Cricetulus griseus: one gene and its partner. The protein of the gene in region 1 purifies or fractionates together with the protein of each later gene. This does not show direct contact. Links are inferred from orthologs where the notes say so. Each region holds a gene or a part of one and is shown on either strand. Other genes may lie near its edges.

Region 1 (12,131 bases):
AGAAGGCTCAATGGATATGAGTACCTACTACATTTGGGGCAGCTCACAATCATCTGTAACTCCAACTTCAGGGAAATGATGTCCTCTTTTGGCTTCTGCAGGCAGGCACTGTCATATATGTGGTGTATACACACATACAATTAAATGAAAATAAAAGAGGGATGGAGGGATGAGAGTGTTGGGTGGGAATGACATATGAATGAAATTCTAAAACAATAATGAAACAAATGTAAGAAAATAATACAATACTATAAAAAGTAATTGCTACAATAGGATAGGGCTGGGATTGTAGCTCAAGTGGTAGAGTGCTTGCCTAGGATGAACCAAATCCAGAATTTGATCTACAGCACTGTATAAAACTGTAAACTAAACACTCAAAAGTAGAGACTAGAGAATCAGTAGCACAGGATCTTTGTTGGCTACAGAAGAGTTTCAGGTAAGCCTTAGATATATGAGACCCTGTATCAAAAACAAAAACAGGATTCAATGGGTCACTGGGGGAAAAAAAAAGAGTGAATGAGTGAAGAGAGCAAGAATATGGAAGAGGGGCATGTTGGGAGGAGTTTGGGGAAAACGGAAAGAGGAAGTTGGAAGTAGATGTGGTCAAGATACACTGGACGCATGCATGAAATTGTCAAGTAATGAATTTAAAGTATCCTAACAGCAATAACCCTCCCCCCAAAAAACAGAAAACAAACAAACAAACAAACACACACACAAGCAAACAGAAACCTAAGTAAGGGTTGGGGAGATGCTGAGTCAGATCTCAGAACCGAAAACAGAACAACAGAAACAAGTGTTATGTAACTACCACATGGGCTCCGCATTTATGTTATTCTTCACTCAACAGATGTTTAGCACAAGGTTACAGCAATGATGTGCACACAGGCCCTGCCCTCTTGGGACTGATACTTTGGTAATGCTACAGAAACTTAAGTGAGGGCTGGGGCGGGCGGGGGGGGGGGGCTCGGCTCAGTGGCCAAGTACTTGCCTATAGACCCTAGGTTTGATCCTCATCGCTAGAAACAGAAATAAGAAATTAAATGGACCAGAAAAGTGATGCATATTTTGTGGTTAGAAACATTGTGAAAGACAGAAAATACATTTGCAATGTATGCCACAGCTTTCCTGAGAGTAGATGTCAGATACTTTCACTGCACACCAAAAGTAAACCAAAACACCATTTTGTACATTAAAAGAAAAACACAAAAGTAAAAAACTCTCTCCACACCTCTCCCCCCACCCACAGAGTCTATGTTCTCTCCAAACTGAGTGTGTGGACCAAGTTGGCCTTGCACTCACAGAGATCTGCCTGACTCATCTTTTTTTTGAAAGAGTCCCATGAAACTCCTGTTGGCCTTGATCTTGCTATACACCTGAGGATGACCTTGAACTTCTTATCTTCCTGTCTCTACTAAGGGTTGGGGTTACAGACATACCTAACTACTATATTCATATATATATATATATATATATATATATATTTCTGGTGATGGAACACAGGTTTTGGTGGCTGTTAAGCAAGCATTCTTCTCACCTATCTCTTTAATTGGGCCAAGTAGGCTAACCTTACCTGTTGGGCTATCAGAGCCTGGGTTTCCCCAACACAACTCTAGTTACAGCACCAGTTTCCAATATAACATTTCCCTCTTACCCTGTTTAATCCCCTATATAGATTTTTGTACCCCATGGCATTAACATATGCTTTAGCTGGGTATGGGGACTGTCTTAGGGTTTCTATTTCTGTGAAGAGTCACCATGACCATGGCAACTCTTATAAAGGAAAATATTTAATTGGGGTTGGCTTACCTTCAGAGGTTTAATACATTATCATCATGGTAGGACATGACAGCATGCAGGTAGACATGGTGCTGGAGAAGGAGCTGAAAGTTGTACATTTTGAGCAGAAGGCAACAGGAAGTGAACTGTATGCCACTCTGGACATAACTTGAGCATATATGAGACCTCAAAGCCTGCCTCCATAATGACATACTCCCTCCAACAAGGCCATATATCCTAATAGTACCATTCCTTGTAGCCCAAGCACTCAAACACATGAGTCTATAGGGGTCATACCTATTCAAACCACCACAAGGCTATACATCTTTGATTCCAGCACTACTGGGGCAGAGGCAGGCGGCTCTCTGTAAGTTCAAGACTAGCCTGGTCTATAAAGTGAGTTCCAGGACAAGGAAGACTACATAGAGAGACCCCTGCCTCCAAAAAAAAAAAACCACTTTAAAAAGAAAGATGAAAAATAATAAAAAGTAGAGAAAAGAGATTAAATTAATATGGTAGGGAAAAGAATAAATAAAGGACTTAACTTTGGGGTACTGACATCAGCTTTAGATGATTTGCAGAATTGAATCAAGGGGTATGTATAACTAGAGATGGGGAGAGGACAGTGCTGTGCAACCATGGGGACCTGGGTTTGGATCCCCAGCACCATACAAAGCCAGGTGTGGCAGGATGCACTAACTAACACCATCAGTTTTAAGGGTCAAAGACAGATGGATCTCAGGAGCCTTCTAGCCAGCTCATCTAGCCAAATCAGTGAGACTCAGGCTCAGTGCTCAAAATCTGAGATGGTAGCTATTCAGGAAGACACCTGACATCAACCTTTGACCTCCACAAGCTTGTACACACACACACCCTCCACATATGAACGTGCACATATGTATATACCACATATGTACAAGAAGAAAGAAAGCAGCATTTATGATTAAGGAGTCAAAGTCAAATAGTGATCTCATCAACCATTATCTCTGCTCTGGTTCTTCAAGGTGGTCCAAAGAAAGGAGACTGGTCCCCTTTGTAAAGACGTCACTTCTGCTCTGTGGTGAAGCCTTGCTTGCATCATAGATACTTGCCCTTATCTAGAAGTGGGAAATAAGTTGAGGCTTTGTTTTTCTTGGAATCCAAGGTGATCATAGATTTTAAGTCATTGACTTCACTTTGTGCTTCCAGAATCATAAGCTAGGTAGACAAAACACTCCTGAGTGATTAACATGCCTTTGTAGTCAAGGAGCCTTTATCCAAAACAAATGAGACAGACAAAAAATGAAGACAGAGATACCAGGCCTTCATCTTTCTCTTTATTATCCTGAGGGCCTAAGTGAGGAGTTAGCACATTTTAACAAAAGGGTTTTGTTTGTTTGTTTGTTTGTTTTTGAGACAGGGTTTCTCTGTGGCTTTGGAGGCTGTCCTGGAACTAGCTCTTGTAGACCAGGCTGGTCTGGGACTCACAGAGATCTGCCTGCCTCTGCCTCCTGAGTGCTGGGATTAAAGGCATGCGATATCACTGCCCGGCTTGGTTTTGTTTATTTGAATAAGGGCCCCAAACTACCTCTGTGGTGGAGGATGACCTTGAACTCCTGACTCTTCTGCCTCCAGCTCCCCAGTTCTAGTGACATGTGCCACCACACCCAGTTCAAGAGGTGCCAGGGATCAAACTCAGGATTTGTGCATACTAGACATTCTATTGCTTGAGCATTTCAGTTCCAAAGGAGCTTTTAAATTTAAACATCTGCTACCATGCCAGTAAGAATTTTTTTCCCCACTTCAATGTTGGGGATTGAAACCAAGCCTTTGAATTCTAATTAATTTAGCTGTGGGTTGAAGAGATGGCTCAGTGGTTAAGATCACTGGCTGTTGTTACACAGGATTCAGGTTTGATTCCCAGCACCCACATGGCAGATCACAACTGTCTGTATCTTCAGTCTCAGGGCTGGCCTCTACGGGGAACTGCATGCACAGAGTGCACAACATGCAAACAAAACATACATACATACATAGATGTAAAATAAATACAATTAAGCTGCATTCCTTTCCCTTAGTATTCTGCCCAGCCTCTGAATATTTGTTAAACAAAGACTTCATGGCACAAAGCAGACTGTTAATTGTGTATGTGTTTAAGGAAACAATCCACATAATCTCAGGAACACATGAGCAGAGAAAGAAAATGAGATCAGAGAGGTAACTTCTAAGTTACCAGTGTATAAGAGGATCACAAATTCAAAGTCAGGATGTGGTGGCAAATGTCTTTTAATCCCAGTACATTTGTGTGTGGCAGAGGTAGGTGGATCTCTTGAGTTCTACACAGCAAGTTCCAGACAAGCTGAAGCTACACAGTCGAGACCTTGTGCTCCAAATAAGGCAGGGGAAAAAAATGTTCAAAGTAATCCATAAATAACATAGCAAATTTAAAGGCAGCCAGAGTAACATTAGGCCTTGTCTCAAAAAAAGAAAACCAGACAGGTGTGGTCTGATTCACATCACTAATTCCTGTACAACCAGGTTTACTTAGTGAGAACCTGTCTTTAAAAAAGAAAAAAAAAAAAAAGTGAGTACTGATGAAAAGCAGAAAACAGAAGACTTAATTTGTTGAGAAAAGGAGCAAATAAAGAAGTCTAGGATCCCTATTTGTTTGGGAGGTACTGACATAAGCTTTAGGTTTAAACAAAGAATTGGGGGACTACCACCCAGAGAAGGTTCCCGCAGTCGTCATACACACACACACACACCCGGAAATGGTCGTTTATGGGGCTAGGGTAAGAAGCCAGGGCAGACGCACTGACCTATGATGTCATTAGGACGTTAAAGTCCTTAACATCACCTGGAGGGAGCTCAATTTCCCTTCCCCGACAGGTCCGGGGAAAGCCGATTCTGAATGCAGGCCCTCATTGGTTACGCCCTCTGTCAATCCACTTCATTGTTCCAGTCTTCCGCCCCGCCTTTCCCCCCTCTGCTTCTGATAGGCTCCTGAGCCTGTCACTTCGGAAAGGTCCGCATTCCTTCCGCCTTTCTCCATGAGACCGAGGGCTAGAAGGGTGGATCCCAAGAGGCTCCCACCCACCTGAGCTCGGCTCCTAAGTCTGATTGGCTTGCTCGGGTGCCTGTCACTACCGCTTTCGCCGTTGACTGGTCGTCGGACCGCCGCTCTGCGCGGCGCCGGTTCCGCCCCCGTCGGGTGTTTGTGGTGGGGCTGCGGAGTCGCCGATCCCGCCGGAAGCGCCAGGACAATGGGGACCCGGGACGATGAGTACGACTACTTATTCAAAGGTGCGCCCGGTGGAGTACAGGCGGGCAAGGGCGCGGTAGCGACGGGAGGGTCGAGGCCGCAGTACGGGGCGAGAGGGTCCAGGGTGGAGCCCCAGGCTTCAGCGGGGCCCTATCCCGGGTAGAGAGTCGGAGGAAGCCACGGCAGGCCGAGCTCACTAGGCTTCGGGCCCTAGTCCGCAGCAGTGAGAAGAGGGAGGCTTAGAGAGGCCTGTGGACCCCGGATGCACCGGGGCGGGGCCGGGCCCTGGAGAGGGTGGGGCCCGGAGTGGAAGGCGAGGCCGTTGGGGCGGGGCTCCATGAGGGGCGGGGCTTCCCTGGGTTTGGCTGGCGGGCTGCGTTGAAAGCGTTGACAGCGGGGGGTTATAGATGGGGTTAGGGCAGTTGAAGAACATTGTGGGCGTGCCCAGGAAGCCTGATTGGTGTGAGACTTCTAGGGCTGGGCCTGGACTGGTAGGGGCGGGGCCTGCCTTTGGGGGGGGTGGGGCCTGGGTCACGTGGTGCAGGAGCCCTAAATTGTGGTGCCTTGGAATTGGGTGGGATGGTGCCTGTGTGTGCAGCGGTAGTTCAAACTCTGAGTAAATGATGGAGATGTAGTTCAGTTGGTAGAGAGAGAGCTTGCCTAGCAGTAGCAGGCACAAAGCCCCGGGCTTTATCGCCAGCACCGTATAAACCTTGTGTGATGGTGCAGGCGTTGGGTGGTCTGCGCTTGGGAGGCAGACGTAGGAAGATCAGAAGTGCAGAGGCCAGCCTGGATTACTGGAACTCAAAGGAAAAAAAAAAAACACGTGGATGACATTGGGCCAGTACATACACTGTTCTGAGACTTTACATTAATGACTCCTTTTAATCCTCTTTATCAGTTTATACAGTCCATATTATCCAAGAAACATGCTTGTAAGTGGTGCACACCTGAAATCCCATTACTCAGAGTTGGAGTCAGGAGGATCTTTTTCTATTTCAAAGTCAACCTGGGGGTGATGAGATAGGTCAACAGGTATTTGTGTGTGCTGCCAAGCCTGATAACGTGAATTCAGTCTTGGGGCCTACATGGTAGAACAGAGTCTGCAAGTTGTCCTCTGTCCATGTCACATGAGCCCACGCACATACAGCACACAGAATAAATAATGTGATTTGGCCAACTGTGGTGGCACTTGCCTTAAGTTCCAGTACTCAGGAGGGAGCTGAAACACACAGTTCTGTGAAATTCAAGGCAGGCAAGCCTGGTCTACATAGAGAGTTCTAGGTGTGGTGGAATGCCAAGTGAGACCCTATCTCAACAAAAATTTTTAAAGATAACATCAGTTACATAGCCATATCCTGTCCTCAAAACAAGAAGGAAACTGAAGTTCAGAGAGACAAGTTCCTGAGGGAGGAGCAGGATTGAGCTCTGGACAGTTTAGGGAGTTTTTGCCACTTAGGGTATGAGCTTTGGGGCAAGTTTTGCAGCTTAGATCTGGAACAAACAGGTGTCAGACCTCCCCTCAACACATACACATCCAACCCACTGGAAGAGTTTCCTACCTGTAGCATGATCAATAAAAGACCCAGAGACTGATATTGGGGTTCAAACTTTAAGCTGAAGATCAGAAAAGCAAAGCAGCTGGCTATTAGTTCTTTCTTATAGCTCAGGCTGAAAGGCAATCCTGGCTCCACCAAACCTCATACTGAAATCCCAGACTGTTCTGCTCTCTTCCGAGAGGCTAGAGAATCTTTAGACTCCAATGTCTTCCTATCCTCAGTGTGGCTGGAGAATGAATGCCAGCTCTGAGACCCTGTTCCTGTCTAAATAACCTTTCATGAGTCCTGGGATTAAAGGTGTTGGCTCTGTTACTCTTTTAGACTGATTCAATCTCGTGTAGCCCTGGATGGCCTTGAACTCAGGGAGATCCATCTGCCTTTGTCTCCTGAGTCCTGGGATAAAAGGTGTGTACCACCACTGCCTGATCTCGGTAGCTTGAGGCTTACTTGCTTTCTGAATCCTCAGGCAAGCTTTAATAAAACATACTATATTACCTCACCCCCCATGTCACTGGGGTCCCTCATTTCTCTGATGAACATATTTAGGGGTCTCTGGCATGATGACACCTTCTATGCCAGGCGGGCTTTTTGGTCCTGTGCTGTTTATGCTAGGCTCCCCACCAGACAGTGGCTGCTTTTGAGCTAATTTCTGAGCACTAAAGGGACACACAGTTGCCCTTCTGGGAGTGTGTCCTGGTGCTTAAAGCCAGCCTTGGCATCTTGGGTTTGTGGAGGTAGTAGGGATAGCCATGTGACAAAAGGTTCCTAGGCAGAGACAGAGGTCTGCAAAGATGCAGAGTTAACCACATAGCACCATGGCCTGGTAGTGGGCTGTGTCCAGATGTAAGTGATTAGCAGGTGTAGGCTCCAGGTATCACTCTAGAGGCAGAGGATGATTTGGAAGGATTTTTGGAGACCAAATATTTGAAGGGCTTTCTGGTGATGGGTGGAACAGACTCAGGCCCTAAAATGGCAAGGACCTGTCCCCACACAACCTACCCTGAGGAAGCTTCAGGCAGGACAGGGAATCTTTTCCCTTCAAGTCAACACATTGAGCATCTGTGGTCATTCCTTGCTTGTTTTCGACCTTTTGCTGTTATAAATAGCTTGGCATTGAATGTGTGCCCAAGTCAAGTCCTCTCTGTGCCCTGTGGGCTGTTTCCTTGATGTGCATTCCCAGAAGTGCAGTTACTAGGTCAGGGGCGATGAAGCGCCATTGCCATTCCTGGTACTTGTCTCCAGAGCTCACTTCCTGGAAACACCAATCAGCTCCTGCAGCAGCTGGCTGGAGGGAGTGTCTGCCTGCCCTATTGCCCACCCCACTGGCCTCCTTTCCTGATCTGGCAGTTGCCTTCTTCAGTTTGTAGTAGCTGCCTAACCCCCAAGGTCAGCATCCCACTAATGCTCACCCTAGGTTTACTCTCCATTCCTTAGAGCTCATCTGAGGACCCTTTAACATTTGTCCTTTTCATTCAGATTTTCAAGCCATTAAATTAGAAAAGGAAGTGCTGGGGAATTAAAAGGGAAGAGAGATAGCAGCAGGCAAACCACTATCATCAATCACATCACTTGCCTACATGTGGCAGGTCCCCCAGAATGTGAAATCACTGTACCTGCCAGTCCCTCATGACAAGTGTAGTGACCTGGTCGGTCTTGGAGAGGCATCCCATAGTCAGTGACAAAAGGATATGGTCAAGGCCAGCCTAGGTTACGTAGTGAGACCATGTCTCTAGAAAAACAAAACAAAACAAAATCTACAGTTGCACCAGAAGTGTTGAAAAGGACTGATCTTGTCACTATGTGGCTCTCTCTGCAACCTCTAGAAACTCAGAAAGGATAGTGTCTGGTGCCTCATCCACCCCTGATTCCCTGTGCTCAACCAGCCTTGCCTGTCCCCATCCTGGGCTTTCCCACCTTTCCTTGACATGGAGGGCCACAAGTCTTTGCTAGAGACAGCTCCTACACACTCTCTGTCTCTCTCTGTCTCTCCCCCCCCCCCTCTCTCTCACGTTTTTTGGCAGCCACATTACACATTGGCTCCCTTGACCTTAAGACGAAGGCCAAGAGGTCCCAAGAGTAGGTGGCCACATGCCATTTGTTTTCTTCTGCAAATAGTCTCCTCTCTCTCAGGAGTGAGGTTGTTTATTTGTACCTAATTATAGATCCTCACGTTTTTTCTCCCAACATTTTCTCCTGTTAGCTGCTGGCCATTTTCCCAACCTCCTGGTGTATCCCCAGGGATACCCCTGACTTCTCCTCTGAGGAACACTTAAGTTAGGAGTGCCACACTGGGATCACCTAGGGCCCCATCCTCAGATGCTTTTCCCAGAGTTCCCAGCCAGTTAGTGCCCACCCAGGTTTCAAGGACATAGATTATGTGAGAAGCACAGGGGCCCTGTTCTTTGGGTTGTACCCACCCCTGCCCAAGTACATAGAAATCACTAGACCCCAGGAACAGGGCTAGCCCCAGAACTTACATCCTTCTGTCAAGTACACCAAGCTAGGCAGCATGCCTACCAGGCCTACTGTGCTGTGCTAGTGACTCCCACTTGCCCCAAAGAATAATTGAGGCAAGAATGCTCCCCTGTGCCAGTCCCTGGGACCTGGAATGGTTAGTGCCCACTTCCTAGAGGACACCTTCTTCCCTACACTGAATAGCTGCTCAGTCAGCCTGAACATCAAAGGCTCTAGGGGTGCTACCCTGTCATAGGACAGGCTAGAGCATCCAGGGCTCCTGAGAGTTGCCAGATCTTTGTTTTTGCCAACTGGGCTTGCCTGCTTAGCTTGCCAAATGCCATATCCAGGGGGACCATTTCCCGGCCAGCAAAGCCACAGACTTCTTTGGAAATGCTGGGGGTTGTGTCCTCAAGGTCTTATTACTTTCCCAAGACAACTGGTCACTTGTTTTTCTTGACAATGCCATTTTCACACCCATCCTACATGCAGAGGCAGCCTAATCACCACCCTGGTATATCAGGTACCCAGTGCCAGGGATGGCCTGAACAACCTAGCCTTCCTGCTGTTCAGCTGGGCATAGTCTGTGGACCCTCAACCTGGTCTGTGCTTTCTTGTTCTCAGTGGGTAACCTTGCACTGGTAATTTGTCTCTGGGTTGCATGTCCCTAAATGCAGCTGCATTATTGACATTGTGTCTGTCCCTGGGGTGGCTCTGAGAATTTGCTAAGCCTAGGCCAGTGAGGCATTTGGGCACAAGCTTGACCCAAAGTTCAGTCCTAGTCACAGTGCAGCTGCCATGGTCACAATTTCTGGAGGCTATGCAACAGAGGCAAGGCTGAGAAGACAGAGGGTGTGAGAGATCTCCTGAGCAGGGCAAGTTTTCCATGTCATTCCTGTGGGCGTGAGAATAAGGAGCAAAGCAGCTCCTGGGGAAGGAGGTGAGGGATAGATGCAATGGAGAGTGACTCCTGCACTCTAGCTTGTTTCCATATGGCAGCTCCTGTGGGAAGGATGTGAGGGATAGATGCTATGGAGAGTGACTCCTACAGTCTAGCTTGTTTCCATATGGCTCAGCAGCCAGCCATTGCCCCAGCCAACATGCTGGGGAATCCTTGGCTCTGGGTTACAGGCTCTTGTCTATCATCACCTCTTTCTCTGAACTTGATTTTCTTATACTGAGTACCCACAGCGGCTCAGGAGGATGCTGAGCCTGTCATTACATGTCTTGTGGTCCAGGCCATATGATAGTCTGCATGGAGAGGAGAAACCTGAACTAAGTGAAGGATCTCACAGACTATAGGATCTTGAAAGATGAGCAGGGATTTGTTGGCTGTCCCTGAAGGATGCCTACATGGTGGGAAGCTGGGAGATAGGCAGGCTGAGGTGCATTGGGCTTCACTGCCTCCAGGAGGTAGAACCAAGACCCCTGAATTGTATGCCAGGGATGAGGGGAGAATGGCCTGGAAGATGTGAGATTGATATGGAAGGGAAAGACCTTGTTCCAGAGACCTGAGTTCACATCCTGCCTAGATGACTTCCCAAGCAAGTTGCCCTGGACATGGATTGCTTAGTGAAAGTGACTGGGAGGTGGGGGCAAATTTGCAGATAAACACAGACCCTGACTCCTGCTTTGCCTCCATGCTCCTGGTCATACAATGTCTTGGGTTCCCCATCTCTCGTCTGAATCTCAGTTTCCTTCTTTATAAAATGGGCTGTGTGAGGCCATATATGTCATCTCTGCAGCCTCTTTTTGTCCCTCTCATATGAATCTGTTTGTGGTTTTTGTTTTGTTTAGTTTTTTGGATTGTTTGTTGGTTTTTGTAGTTTTGTTTTTGTGGAGTTTTTTGTTGTTTTGAGATACGGTCTCACTATGTAGCCCTAGCTGGCCTGGGTTTGCCTCCTGAGTGCTAGGATTAAAGGCCTGAGCCACCATATCAGGCTTGTTTTGTTTTGGGGGGTCTCAGGAAGCTTAGGCTTGCATCAGACTCACTATGTAGCCAGAGATGATCCTGAACTACTTCTGCCTTCACATCTAGTTTAATGCAGTGCTGGGGATCAAACCCAGGCTTCATGCATGTTTAGACAAGTGCTCTGCCATCTGAGCAGTATCATCAGTACTGTTTGTCCTTTGAAACAGGGACTCAAAATGTAGCCCAGGCTGCCCTTAAACTCATGATTCTGGTGCTGCAGCTGAGTCCTGGAATTATAGGCATGTATCACTATGCCTGCCTCAGTCTTATTATTCTTGGCTCTAAAGCAACCAGCCCAGAAGGTGAAATGGGTTGGGATCCCTGTTTTTGCCCCATCCTCACCTGCGACCTGAGGGGGGTGACCTGGGCATCTTCCCAGGGTGTTGTAGGCATGTCTAGGGTCATATGAGGTAGGCAGGGGTGTGCTGATTCATTCCACAGATATTTGTTGGCACTTACTGTGTGCCAGGCCCTGTGCCAGGCCTGAGGATACATCAGGGAACACGCCTATCCAAGATCCATGCTTATGGGGCAGACTAGCCACAAAAAAAGAAAAGAGCGAAACCAGACACATGTGAGGGTTTCACGAGCTATGGAAGAAACACTAGGGCAGAGAATGGGGAGGGTTGGGAAAGTATGATTATAATAGGATTGTGGAGAGGGTCTTCTTGACCAAGTGGCATCTAAGGGGCTCACAAAGAGGTGAAGCAGGGGCCAAAGAAAGAGTAGCCTGTGTAAAGGTCCTGAGGCAGGACTGTGCCTGATGTATCCGGGCAGAGCAAGGAGCCGATGTAGCTGGCTAGAGCATGTGGAAGATTGAGGAAGGGAAAGAAAGAGGCTTCAGAGCATGTAATACCATGCCTTGTGGGCCCTGGGGAGGACCTGCGCTTTGATTCTTAGGGAATTAGGAGCCATTCTGAGGCACTGCCCAGGGCAGACAGTCTAGCTGTAGTGCTCACAGATGTCTTCTTGCGGCTGTGAGGAATACAAGCTTTTGGCTGGGACCTCAAGAAAAGACTGATAGTATGATAACAGTGTAAGGTGGTGGCTTGGCCTTTGAAGGTGGCAAGGAGCAGGGAACTAGACACACACACATGCACACATGCATGTTCTCTCTCTCTCTCTC
Region 2 (12,131 bases), on another chromosome or scaffold:
ATTCCCTCTGGAGCTGAAGTTGCCTGTGCTTGTAAGCCAGCTGACATCTGTAGTCAGTGATAGGAACTGGGAACTGAACTCTGGTCGGCCATAAGAACAGCAAGCACTCAACCACTGAGCTGACTCTCCAGATCCTCAGCATATGGTGTTTTTTGTTTTGTTTTGTGAACATGGATGTTGTGTCTGTCTGTATGTCTGTGTACAGTATGCATGCTGTTGCCTGCAGAGGCCAGAAGGCACTGAATCCTCTGGAGCTGGGGTTACTGAGACTTACGAGCTGCCATGCAGGTTCTAGGAATTGAACCCAGATCCCTTGAAAGAGTAGCCTGTGCTCTTAACTGCTGAGCCATCTGTCCAGCCCCACCATATGATTTTGAACATTTACTGGCTAGTTTTTTTTTTCAAATTTTATATTGCAACCCATTAGTGAACTATAAATCTATTTAAAAGATGCAAAACAATGTTTCTAAAAGGGAAATAAAATAAGTCCCAAAGTATGAGAGTGCTGCATACAGTCAGGTATTAGTTCATGAAACTCTTATTTTGTATTAAATAATGCTCATTTATTTTTCAGTGATCACAGAATAAAATACATTGGATTTTTAAAAAAGGTTGTTTTAAATGTTATATGTGTTTTGCCTGTATGTATTTATGTGTACCATGTATGTGCAGGGGCCAGAAGAGGGCATCAGATCCCCCTGAACCAGAGTTACATGTGGTTGTGAGCTGCTATGTGGATAGTGGGAATTGAACCTGAGTCCTTTACAAGAGCATTGAGTGCTCTTAACCACTGATCTATCTCTCCAGCTCTAGAATCCACATTTAAAAAGCCAGGTTCAGAGCTGGAGAGATGGCTCAGAGGTTAAGAGTTCAATTCCCAACAATACACAAATCCATAATGAGATCTGGTACCCGCTTCTGGCATTCAGGCATATATGCAGGCAGAACACTGTATACATAATAAATCTTAAAAAAGAAAAGAAAGAAAAGCAAATAAAGAGTAAAAAGCCAGGTGCAATGGTATTGTTTATAACCCCAATACTGGGAGGCAAAGACAAGAGGATCGCTGGGGCTAGCTGTCCAGCCAGGACAGTGAAATCCTGTCTCAAAAATATATATAACAAAACCCAAAGTGGATGGCACCTGAGGCAATACCACCAAAAGTTATCCTCTAGCCTCTACAAATGTGTACATGTGCACATATAGACTTACACACCAGCAAACACATGTACATAAACATGCACACAACAGAGGGTCAGTGGTGAGCGATTTAGAGACTAGTGAGAATATCATACTTCAATGTTAAATACTCTTCTCATGGTTTTGCTATTTGAAAATAAGATTTGACTATAATGTACTATGCTTTTCATGGATTTATGATTGACACTTAGAGACTGTGGGGAAGCTAAGCAGCCTGCCAGCATTCAGGAGGTGGGGGTAGGAGGGTCTCAGATTTGAGGCCAGGCTAGGTTACATACACAGTGAGATCCTGTTTTGTCGAGACAGGGTCTCTTTATGTAACTCTGCCTATCCTGAAACTCATTATACAGACCAGGCTGTCCTTGAACTCAAAAATCTGCCTGCCTCTGCTGGGAGGGTACCATACTCAGCTGAAATTTTGGTTATTTTCCCCCCAGACAAAACAAAATAAGACTAAGGCTTTAAAAAATAAAGGAAAATATGAATGTGGAAAAATTAATTTACTCAAACATATGGATTTAAAATATTTTAAATTCACTTTTGAAAAATATAGTTTTCCAAATAAAACATCAGTGAGATACTTCACATTGTTTTACAATTTCCTAAGTCTCCTTTATGCACTACTGAATTCTCATGTCTGCTTCTAAAATCAATCTGATGAGGTATCAACAAATACAAACTGTTCCTATGGTAAAAACAATGGATTCTTAGAATGCAAAGGTAAATGTTTCCCTTCCTGTAGACAGCAGTTCTCAACCTGTGGGTCATGACCCCTTAGACAAACCTCTGTCTCCAAAAATATTTACATTACAATTCATAACAGTAGCAAAATTATAGTAATGAAGTAGCAACAAAAATAACTATGGCTGGGGGTCACCAAACATGAGGAATTGTATTAAAGGGTTGTGGCATTAGGAAGGTTGAGAGGCACTGCTACAGGAGCTCAGACTTGAAGAGACTACAGACTGACTAAAAATGAGGCCTGTAATCCTAGCTACTTGGGAGGCTGAAACAGGGTTGCAGGTTTGGTGTGTGTCTGGGCAACTTACTGAGAACCTAGCTCAAAAAGGGAGCAGGGCTGGGGATACAGCCCAGTGGTGGAGCACTTGCTTAGCATGCAAGAGGCTCTAGATTCAATCCCCAATATTGCATAAATAAATAAAAGTGTCAAGATATAGGTAGAAACAAGGCTGGAATGTATGAGCAGAGAGAAAACAAAGCAACAACAACAACAAAAAAAAAAATTGACAACTCTGAGCCTGTAGAGCTAAACAGAAAACATAACAAATGCTTTTTACTTACTCATGACTAAATTCTATACGTACTTACATGAGAGAACGGACTCATTTGGTTAAAAATTTACCACTGACTGTAGCTATAAACAATGCTACCTCTTTTTACATTTATTTATTTTGTGTGTGTGTGTATGTGCTACAGAGCACACATGGAGGTCAGAAACAACTTCCAGGAGTCACTCCTCTCCTTCTACCATATAAGTTGGGTACTCACACTCAGGCAATCAGAGTTGGTAGCAAGCACTTTACCCACTGAGCCACTCACCAGCTCAAAAAAGTTGCTACCTTTGAAATAAAATCCTCAGTTTGAATAGAGATATTCAATTCCTGAAGTCTTGTTTTTCTGTCAATGGAAAAATCCCAGGAGGCTGAGGAAGGAGGATCACTATATACATAGTCTGGTCTACCTAAGTGCCTCAAAAACAAATGATAAAGTGAGGTGCAGGCTGGTTGTGGAGGCGTGGCTCTCATTACAGTCCTGAGAAGGCAAAGGAAGGAAACTGGGGAGTTTAGGCTAATCCCAGATACATGAGACCCTGTCTCAAAAGCAAACAAGTGAAAAGGAAGGGGTGGCTATGGGAGAGAGTGAGCAAAGTAAAGCTGTAAATATGAGTATGTACACGTATTTGTCTCTCTGTGTTCATAAAAATGTCATAAATGGGCAGGGCAGTGGAGGCACAGAGGCAGGCGGATCTCCGTGAGTTGGAGGCCAGCCTGGTCTATAGGGTGAGTTCTAGGATAGCCAGGGCTACATAGATAAACCTATCTCAAAACCAGCAACAAAACTAAACGGTCATAAATAAAACCCATTATTTTGTATATTAAAATGTAACAAATATATTACTAAAAACAAAACACAACTCACCTATGTAGGGTGGTACACACCTTTAATCCCAGCACTTGGAGGCAGAGGCAGGTCGAACTCTGTGAGCTTGAGACTATCCTGGTCTACACAGTGAGTTCCAGCCCATGCAGTGCTATAGAGAGAGAGACCTGTCTTACAAAAACAAAATTTCAGCCAGGCAGTGTTAGTACACACCTTTAATCCCAGCACTCTGGAGGCAAGAGGCAGGCGGATCTCTGAGTTCAAGATCAGCCTGGTCTACAAGAGCTAGTTCCAGGACAGCCTCCAAAGCCACAGAGAAATCTTGTCTCAAACAAACAAACAAAATCCTGCCAAAAGTACTGGCTCAGGCCTATAATCCTAGCATTTGGAAGGCTGAATTGATGCAAGTTTAGAATTAATATGGGCTTTATAATTAAAGATTAACCCAGGCTATAGTGAGACCCCCGTTTCAGAAAACAAACACAAATTAAGAAAAACCCTACTATAAAAAGGGCTTTCAGCCTGGTTGTGGTGGTGCACACCTCTAATCCCAGCATTTGGGATGAAGAGGCATGTGGATCTCTGAGTTCAAGGCCAGCCTGATCTAGAAATAGAATTCTAGGACAGCCAGGGCTACAGAGAGAAACCTTGTCTCAAAAAACAAGACAAAAAAACCAAAAAGGGCTTTTATGCCTCATTTTGTATTGTTTGTTTTAATCTATCCAGCCTGTCATACCTCTTTTTATAATATTTAAAGAATAATTTTAGCCCAGCATGGTGGCACATATCCTTAACCCAAGCATTTAGAAGGCAGAGACAGGCAGATCTCTGAGTTTGAGGCCAGCCTGGTTTACATAATGAGTTCCAGGACAGCCAGGGGTATGTAGAGAGATCCTGTCTCCAAAAACCAAATAAAGACTAGTGTTGCGGCCCCATGGAATCCCAGTCTTTAAGGAATCCGTAACATTTAAACTCTAGGCTAGCACAGGCTCACCACTTCTTAATATAGCTGATGACTTAGGGTCCTGACAGGTGGAATGGCGACTACCTACCACAGTGACAGATCTAAGCCGGCCTTGGCACCCTGTTGCTCTGCTGTGCTTATCTTCCATTACTGCAATCCTCCCCTTTAGCCTAGTTTATGTTTGTCCTGTCCTCGTGATCTGAAAAACTCACATTCCTACTGTTCAGTATGTAATTTTTTTTACCCTTGAATGCTCTTTCTTTTTTATCCCATTGGATACTATCTAGTGTCTCTCCTAAGTTCTGCCTTGCAGTATTCATATGAAGCCTGCCATTCACTCACCATAGAGTACGCAGCCAGGCCTTCTGTGTCAGTTTAACAAGGTTCTGCCCTGTGTCTACAGCAAGTAAGAACTCCACTGTTCTACTTTTGTACCTGCTGCAGGTTTAAGCAGGCATTTCAAGCTATAGCTCTAATTTTATCTAATTTTATGTTTTGCCTCCATGCATGTATGTATGTATGTATGTATCTGGTGCCCACAGAGATCAGAAGGGGACATTGAACCCCTTGGAAGTGGAGCTATGGATGGCTGTGAGTCACCCTGTGGGTGCTGAGAATTGAACCCCGGGTCCTCTCCAAGAGTAACAAGTGCTCGAAACCATTGAGCCATCTTTTCAGCCTCCGCAAGCTACAGCTCTCTATCTGTCTCTCAACTGAACACTGAAGCAGGGACATTCATCACTTGTATTAATGTTCTAACAACAGGCATGTAATATTATAGTACTTTCTTGATATTCCCCAACCTCCCCAAACCTTGGAAAATGATATTACATCAGGCATTATTGTTACTATATTGTTATAATATTGTCATTGTTATACAGAAGCTGAGGTTTAGTCTAGCATGGGGTGGGGGGCATATGGATATATTCCTAGTTACTCCACAGGCCAGTGGCTTGAACCAAGGAATATTAACAGCGGCCTGGAAAAAAAATATACTGTCTCAAAAAAAAAGGGGGACTGGTGGGAGGGGGTAGAGGGGAAAGGGAAAGAAAGAAAAGAAGGAAACTGAACGATCTCAACCAGCTCGTAAGTACAGTGAAGATGGCATCCAAAATCTAGGTTCAACCAGCTGCCAGTAGAATATTAAGATTCTTACCCCTAGTAAGGGCCTTAGATACTAGGAAAAGTCTCAGGAAAAGACTACATTGGGGCAGTGATTCTGAGGTTCAATAATAGTAACGAACAAATTAACACAAAACCAACACCAGAGGCCTGCTTATGTCTGTTTAGTCGCACGTGGTTTTCTTTGGTTTGGAAAAAGTGATATGTCCTCTAAGCCTTTGTCATTTCACTCACCTCTCCTAACCTGGCTTGTCCAGCCTCTCAGGTCTAGGCGACTGGACGCTGGAGGCCAAAGGCTGCCCAAGCCGGGGTGACCTCGGAAGCAGAACCTTGGCCCAGAGTGTTGCTGCTAACGGTGAAAGATTGAGGCGGTTGGACTGCGCCATTCCTGAAGCTACAGGGGCATACTTTTGGCATCGTCCTTAAAGATGAGTAGGAAAAGGAAAGTGAGGGCGATTGTCCTCCTCTCTGGTCCCTTCTCATCTGTTTTCTGGCCTTCCATCATGGGTCCCACCGGCTGATTTACGAAGGGATATCCTGTAGGACAGGAGAAGGAGAAAAAGTCACTGATGGCAATTACAGTAACTCGGTGGCTTATACAAACGAATTATTTACATATAATTTGCCTGTTGGTATACTTGTGGAAGTACGTAAAATATCAGTACATCCACATCGTGCCACTTATCCAGCCCACAGTACTTCCCTCTCGGCTTCCTTAGCAAAGCCTGCCTCTGAGGTCCGCCCTCAAACCCCGGGCCCTCCTTCCACTGAGACGCTCCTCCCTGCTTCCCCGCCCCTTCCCCCGCTTCCAAATCGCTCTTCCCCGCCCCCTTTTCGTTTCTGAACAGGCGTGACTCGGGCAGCTCGGCCGACTCAGATTACTATGGCATCGGTAGTGTCCTGACAGTCCGGGAAGTAGGAAGGCAAATCCGGGGAAGAAGGGCTCGGGCCCAGGAGACTCTTACATCGAAACCCGCAGAAGAATTGTTATTTTGGGTCCTGCTTGTGAGGTCCGCTCCAACTTGAGGCAGCGTGAAGGCCCTTTCAGGCGGCGCCGCGGGCAGCCCCGCAGCCGGGGCCTGGTGCAGCCGCCGCGGCCGCTGTCAGGGAAGCGCAAGGCGGCCAATGGAACCCGGGAGCGGCCGCTGCTGCTGAGGCGGCGGTGTCGGCAGTCCGACCCCGACCGCCTGCACCCTCTCCGCGAGGGTCCCCCGGAGGTAAGCGACTCCTCCCCCATGAGTCGCCTTTGCCTGGGGGCGGGGGCGGGGGGAGGGTCCTTCTGCCATCCTGTCCCGCACAGCCTACAGCCACCTGGGTTCGACTACAAAACTGCCCTCCTAGTGGGAGCTGCACCCTGAGGTTCTTCACTCTTTCTCTCGGGCCCGGGGTCGTCTTCTCTGCTTTCTGGCTTCCTCTTCTGTTTAGCCCCTCCCTCTGTCCCGTGGATTCCACCTCCCCCCACCACCACCACACACTTCTTTCCCCTGTTGCCTCTGTCCCTTAACTAGTTCTCTAAGCCGTGAACCTTTTCCACATTACACCCCTTCTACAATGTCCATCCTTGTTTGCCCTTCCTCGCCGTTTGTGTTTCTGCGCCCAAATCTTTCCCATGGGGTCCGCCTTTATCCCTTTTCCTATTTCTCCCCACTCCTCGTAGTCTGTGCAACCTCAGCACAGAGTTCCCATTTCCCTCAGCTAGAGATCGTATCCCTCTCTTGTGCTTCCGATTCCATTACCTCACCTTAACCCACTCCCCCAGCTCCTGGCTTCCAAGAATTTCCAATTCCCTTCTTGAAGGCTCTCAGACCGTTGTCATCGTGTCCAAGATCCCATCTACTTTGACCTTAGTGCTCAACACTTCTCTGGGGTGCCTGATGATACCTGTAGCTATCTTTGGCTTTCTTTTCCCCTTTCTCAATCCCCAGGCCTCCGGAGGATGGTTCCTGTAGGAAAGAGAGGTGATGTGAACAGCCCTTCAGATTAGGGATTTCCAACTTGTGACACACACAAAAATCCCCATTCCAGGATTTTGTCGATCTTTGTCTCCCTGGGTTCTGTTTTCCCTGTGGCCTCTATCACACCCTTTATCTACACACATCACTTATTTCAGATCAGCTAAACCTTGAACTAAGAAGAAAATGTTGGGAGGAGGGGAGCCTCAGCTGTCTCCGGCTTTTGTGGACAGATGTGTTAATGAAGGATGGAACAACTTTTCAAGAAGTCGCTATCAATCACATTATATTTCGTTGACTGTTTAGGAGCAACCACTAGGAGAGAATGACAGGCCTTCGTGGAAGCTGAATGAAGTTATGAGAAATTTTGCTTCAGATTATTTATTTTGGGACTTGGTTAGGTCACAGGATAGTATCTACTACTCCTGTCTAGACCAAATCATTACTTTACTGGACGAAGTCTAGTGGAATAGTGTTGGTTAGTTTCATAAGCACTTGGCCTAATGGGTGAAGTTGTGTGTGTGTGTCTGGGAAAAGGAACATGAGATGGTGTAAAGGGCCGGCATGTTCAGGATTCTTGGTTCAACATGTAACTTCCTCACTTGAACTTGAAAATTCTCTTTTGAGAAAAATGGCCCATTCTTTAAGTACCAGTGCAATAATAGGCTAGTAGCAGGATGTCTTTTGGGAGAAGAATTATACTTTTTTAATTTATAAAACACTGCAGGTTCTTAGGCAAAATGTATTTATTGCTAGTGATTTTGTCATCTTGAGATTTTCCCTTTATTTTGATATTTTGATCTCTCTGATCTCTCTGAGTATAAAATCAGTTTGAAACACAAGCTCCTGGCCTGCTACTTTTCAACCCTGCCTTTTTTTTCTTCTATCACACCTGTGCCTTTCCTTCTAAACTTGATCCATAACTCCAAATTTTGTGGTCAGAAATGTGTTTGTAGAAGAGCCCTTGGAAGGTAGGAGCATGCTGGACTTAGCAGCTAACTAGATGCTGCTTTGTCTTGCACATCTCTTTCAACCTTAGATAATGAAGATGGCACAGGCACGCTATTCCTCTTCCCTCTCTAGGACTGTTCAGGTCTGAAAATAGTTATACAAGCCAGGCAGTGGTGGGGCACACCTCTAATCCTAGCACTTGGGAGGCAGAATTTGGATCTGAGTTCCAGCCTGGTTTACAAATGGAGTCCCAGGACAGCCAGAGCTGTTACACAGAGAAACCCAGTCTCAAACTGCCCCCCCCAAAAAAAAAGAAAGAAAAGAAAATGGTTATACCATGTTGGCCCACTTCTTACCCCAAAATTACTTGAAGTGCAATCTAGTAATGATCCCCATTTATGGGAGACCGTCCCTCCTTAGATGCATCCTTAACCAGAAATCATACCTCTAGTTTTCCTCACTTCTCATCTGTTCCACACTGCATAAGTACATGTTTCCTGAACACTAATATAGCAAACTGAGAGCTGCTTTGGTTTGGGAAAGAGGTTTGGGAGTATCCTTTCAGTAATTGGCCTGGGACAAAAGAGGACCTAGTCTAAAGCACATTTGGGACTTAAACAAGGAGGACTGGTTCAGAGATAGGTGAGCAATGCAGGTTGCTTCCTTTCCCAGCTGTCAGTCTCATCAGGGGCTCCTGGAGCAGGCTTGGGCTGTCTGGCTGGAATCTGCTTCTACCTGCTCCCTGGCCTTGTACAGAGTTCTCAGCTTGATCAATATTGACCTAACTACTGTGAGACCACTGCCCTTCCCCCAAGGCCGTAGTTGAGAATGCCCTCTTCCCTGATGCCACCCTCCTTTGAGACCTTGGGCAAGCATACTTGGTTCCTGGTGGGGCTTGAGCTTGCTGGACTGCTCAATCCAGAGTGTCTACAGAAAAAAATGTAGAAATCATTCTTCCTTTACCATTAAGGTGAAAGGGAAAAGATGAGCTGAGTTCTTAAAGATTTATAATAGACCTTAAGACATGGGAAGGAACTTTTTTAGGAAAAAATTTTGATGGATGTTTTGCCTGCCTATGTATCCATGGGCCACATATGTGCCTGTTACCTGCAAAGGCCAGAAGAGGATGTTCGTTCCCTTGGAACTGGAGTTAAAGATTGTTGTGAGCCACTCTGTGGGTGCTGGGACTTGAACTCAGATCGTCTGCAAGAGCAGGTAGTGCTTGTAACTGCTGAGCTGTCTCTCCAGCCCCAGCAAGGAACTTCTTAACAGCAGAACAAGCAGCCTAGGATGAGACAGGGCCCCTTTTGAAGAGCAGCCTATTTTTAAAAATTGCTGTTAAAGGAGTACATGTACTTGGTGATATTCAATAGGATTGTAGGAATTTATGATCAAAACTAACAGTCCCTCTCCCTTCATCTGTACTCATACTCCCTCAAATCAGAGCTAGCTTCTGTAATTATCTCAGCATAAAGTTCTATTCAAAGCTTATTACCATAGCACTCATAACACTTGTTCTTAACTCTAGAGGTTTGGTTGTAGAGGATTTATACTTGTTTGGGTAATTATGACATATTTTTGTTTCTATCTGAGCCTTTCTTTTCCACTAACTTGGATTGGGTTTGCTGGGGATTGAAACCCAGAGTCTTGCTCATGTTAGGTAAACCCTCTTTTTCCATTAACTTTCACTGCACCTCATACAGTAAGATACTGGCTCCTTTATCTTCTTTTCCATTTCTGTGACCCATCTCAGAGGATCTTAAAAGAAAGAAAATTGAGCTGGCCTGCTTGCTTGGAAGAAGAGCCCTACACAAGATGAGTTCTAAAAAGTCATTCTGTGTGCCAGGTGGTGGTGGTGCTCACCTTTAATCCCAGTACTTGGGAGGCAGAGGCAGGCAGATGAGTTTGAGGCCAGCCTGGTCTACAGAGTGAATACCAGGACAGCCAGAGCTATTACACAGAGAAACTCTGTCTCAAAAAAAAAAAACAAAACAAAACATAACCAGTCACTTTGTGGAAATTCTGAGTATGTTAAAGCATCAGGATCGGTGTGAAGCAGTTCACATTTATCATGCATGGTAAAAGATTTGAAGAAGTAATGGTGATAGAGTAAGGGACTGATTTGGGACTTGGTGCCTTCCTTCCTTCCTTCCTTCCTTCCTTCCTTCCTTCCTTCCTTCCTCCCTGCCTCCCTCCCTTCCTCCCTCCCTTCCTTCCTGCCTTTCTGTTTTGTTTTTCGAGACAAGGTTTCTCTGTGGCTTTGGAGACTGTCCTGGAACTTGCTCTTGAAGACCAAGCTGGTCTTGAACTCACAGAGATCCGCCTGCCTCTGCCTTCCAAGCACTGGGATTAAAGGCATGTGCCACCACCGCCTGGTTTGGTACCATCTTTCTTGAAAGGCCAGTCCAATTAGTCTTTTCATGAAGACCTTTTTCATTAACTTCTGTGAAGGTTGCCTGCACAAAGTTTTTGAGGTGCTCTGTTGAAGACATCCTGGTTAAGGGATACTGTCCCCTCCAGAGTCCTGTAGACATAACTGCTCAAGCCCACAAAGCTCATATGTTGCTACCTTCTCTGCCAATTCAGAAGCTGCTCTGTACCCTGATACTTAGACTTTTTCTACTGTATTAGTTACTTTTCTGGTTGCTATCACAAAATGCCTGACAAAAGCAACTTATAGGAAAGTTTGTTAGGCTTACAGTTTTGAGGTTACAGTCCATCACAGTAGGTGGAGCTGTGTCAGAAGTGAGACAGCTGGTTACTTTGTGTCTGCCTTAAGGACAGAGAAAGCCATGAATGGTTGGTCATACTTAGCTTACTGTCTCCTTTTGATCCAGTCTTGGGCTACAGCCCATGGAATGGAATCTCCAATATTAATCACCTCAATTAAACTCATCTAAAAAGTCCCTCGAAGACATGCATACAGAGACTTGTTTCCATGGTGACTCTAAATTCTATGAAGTTGATTTAAGGTTACCCATCATGCCTACCTTGCCCTGTTCCATGGGGTACAGTTGTCAACACTTTAAGCTCTGATCTTTCCCCAGCCCCCTCCTCCTTTCCTAGTAGCCAGGCTGCTAGGCTCAGACAAGGAGGCCTCTTCTTTTCCCCTCCAGTCTGTCTTAATGGAGAGTTTAGACTCCCAGTGTGACGTAGATCCTCAGCTGTATGGATGCTACGGCTTGTAGGAAGAAGAGTGATAAATGCAGGACTTGTTTCTCCTCCCTTTTTTGTTGCTACATCTTAATCCTTTTACTTTCTCCAGAATAGTTAGTGCTCCAAGGTTTATTTTCATTGTATGTATAGATGAAGAGATTAATGTTGAAAATCATATTTGAATTAGATTTTGGAGAATACCTTATTTCTGCTACTCATGTATATGTGTCTCTGCCCATATATGCTTATTTGTGTGTACATACATACATGTGGAGGCCAGAAGACAACTTCATGTTGTTCATCAAATGCTGACCAACAACCTTTTTTTTTTTTTTTTTTTTTTTTTTTTTTTTTCTTTGAGACAGGGTTTTCTGTGTATCCCTGGCTGTCCTGGAGCTCTCTGTAGACCAGGCCAGCCTTGAACTCACAGAGATCTGTCTGCCTCTACCTCCTGAGTGTTGGGATTAAAAGCATGTGCCGCCACCACCCCAACAACTTTTTCTAAAAGACAGCAGTTCCTTAGCTTGCAACTGGCTAAGTACAATAAACTGACTGGCCGGTAAGTCCTAAGGATCTTCCTGTCTCTGTTTCCCCAGCACTGGAGATCACAATTGTATGTTACTATGCTAGGCTTTTTGACATGGGTTCTGGAGATCAAACTCAGG

The links.
Region 2: the proteins of Rab11b (region 1) and Pi4kb purify together in Homo sapiens (co-immunoprecipitation; 3 studies listed by BioGRID and IntAct, with this or other methods). This does not show direct contact. The link is inferred for Cricetulus griseus from reciprocal best matches to the Homo sapiens genes RAB11B and PI4KB.

Annotation. Positions count from the first base shown.
Region 1 is NC_048598.1:95,211,890-95,224,020, forward strand, and holds the start of Rab11b (ras-related protein Rab-11B), read left to right. Parts: upstream 1-4,902; 5' UTR 4,903-5,021; coding exon 5,022-5,061; intron 5,062-12,131. UniProt on the Homo sapiens protein: The small GTPases Rab are key regulators of intracellular membrane trafficking, from the formation of transport vesicles to their fusion with membranes.
Region 2 is NW_023276806.1:61,524,972-61,537,102, reverse strand, and holds the start of Pi4kb (phosphatidylinositol 4-kinase beta), read left to right. Parts: upstream 1-6,484; 5' UTR 6,485-6,624; exon of another isoform or gene 6,625-6,659; intron 6,660-12,131. UniProt on the Homo sapiens protein: Phosphorylates phosphatidylinositol (PI) in the first committed step in the production of the second messenger inositol-1,4,5,-trisphosphate (PIP). May regulate Golgi disintegration/reorganization during mitosis, possibly via its phosphorylation.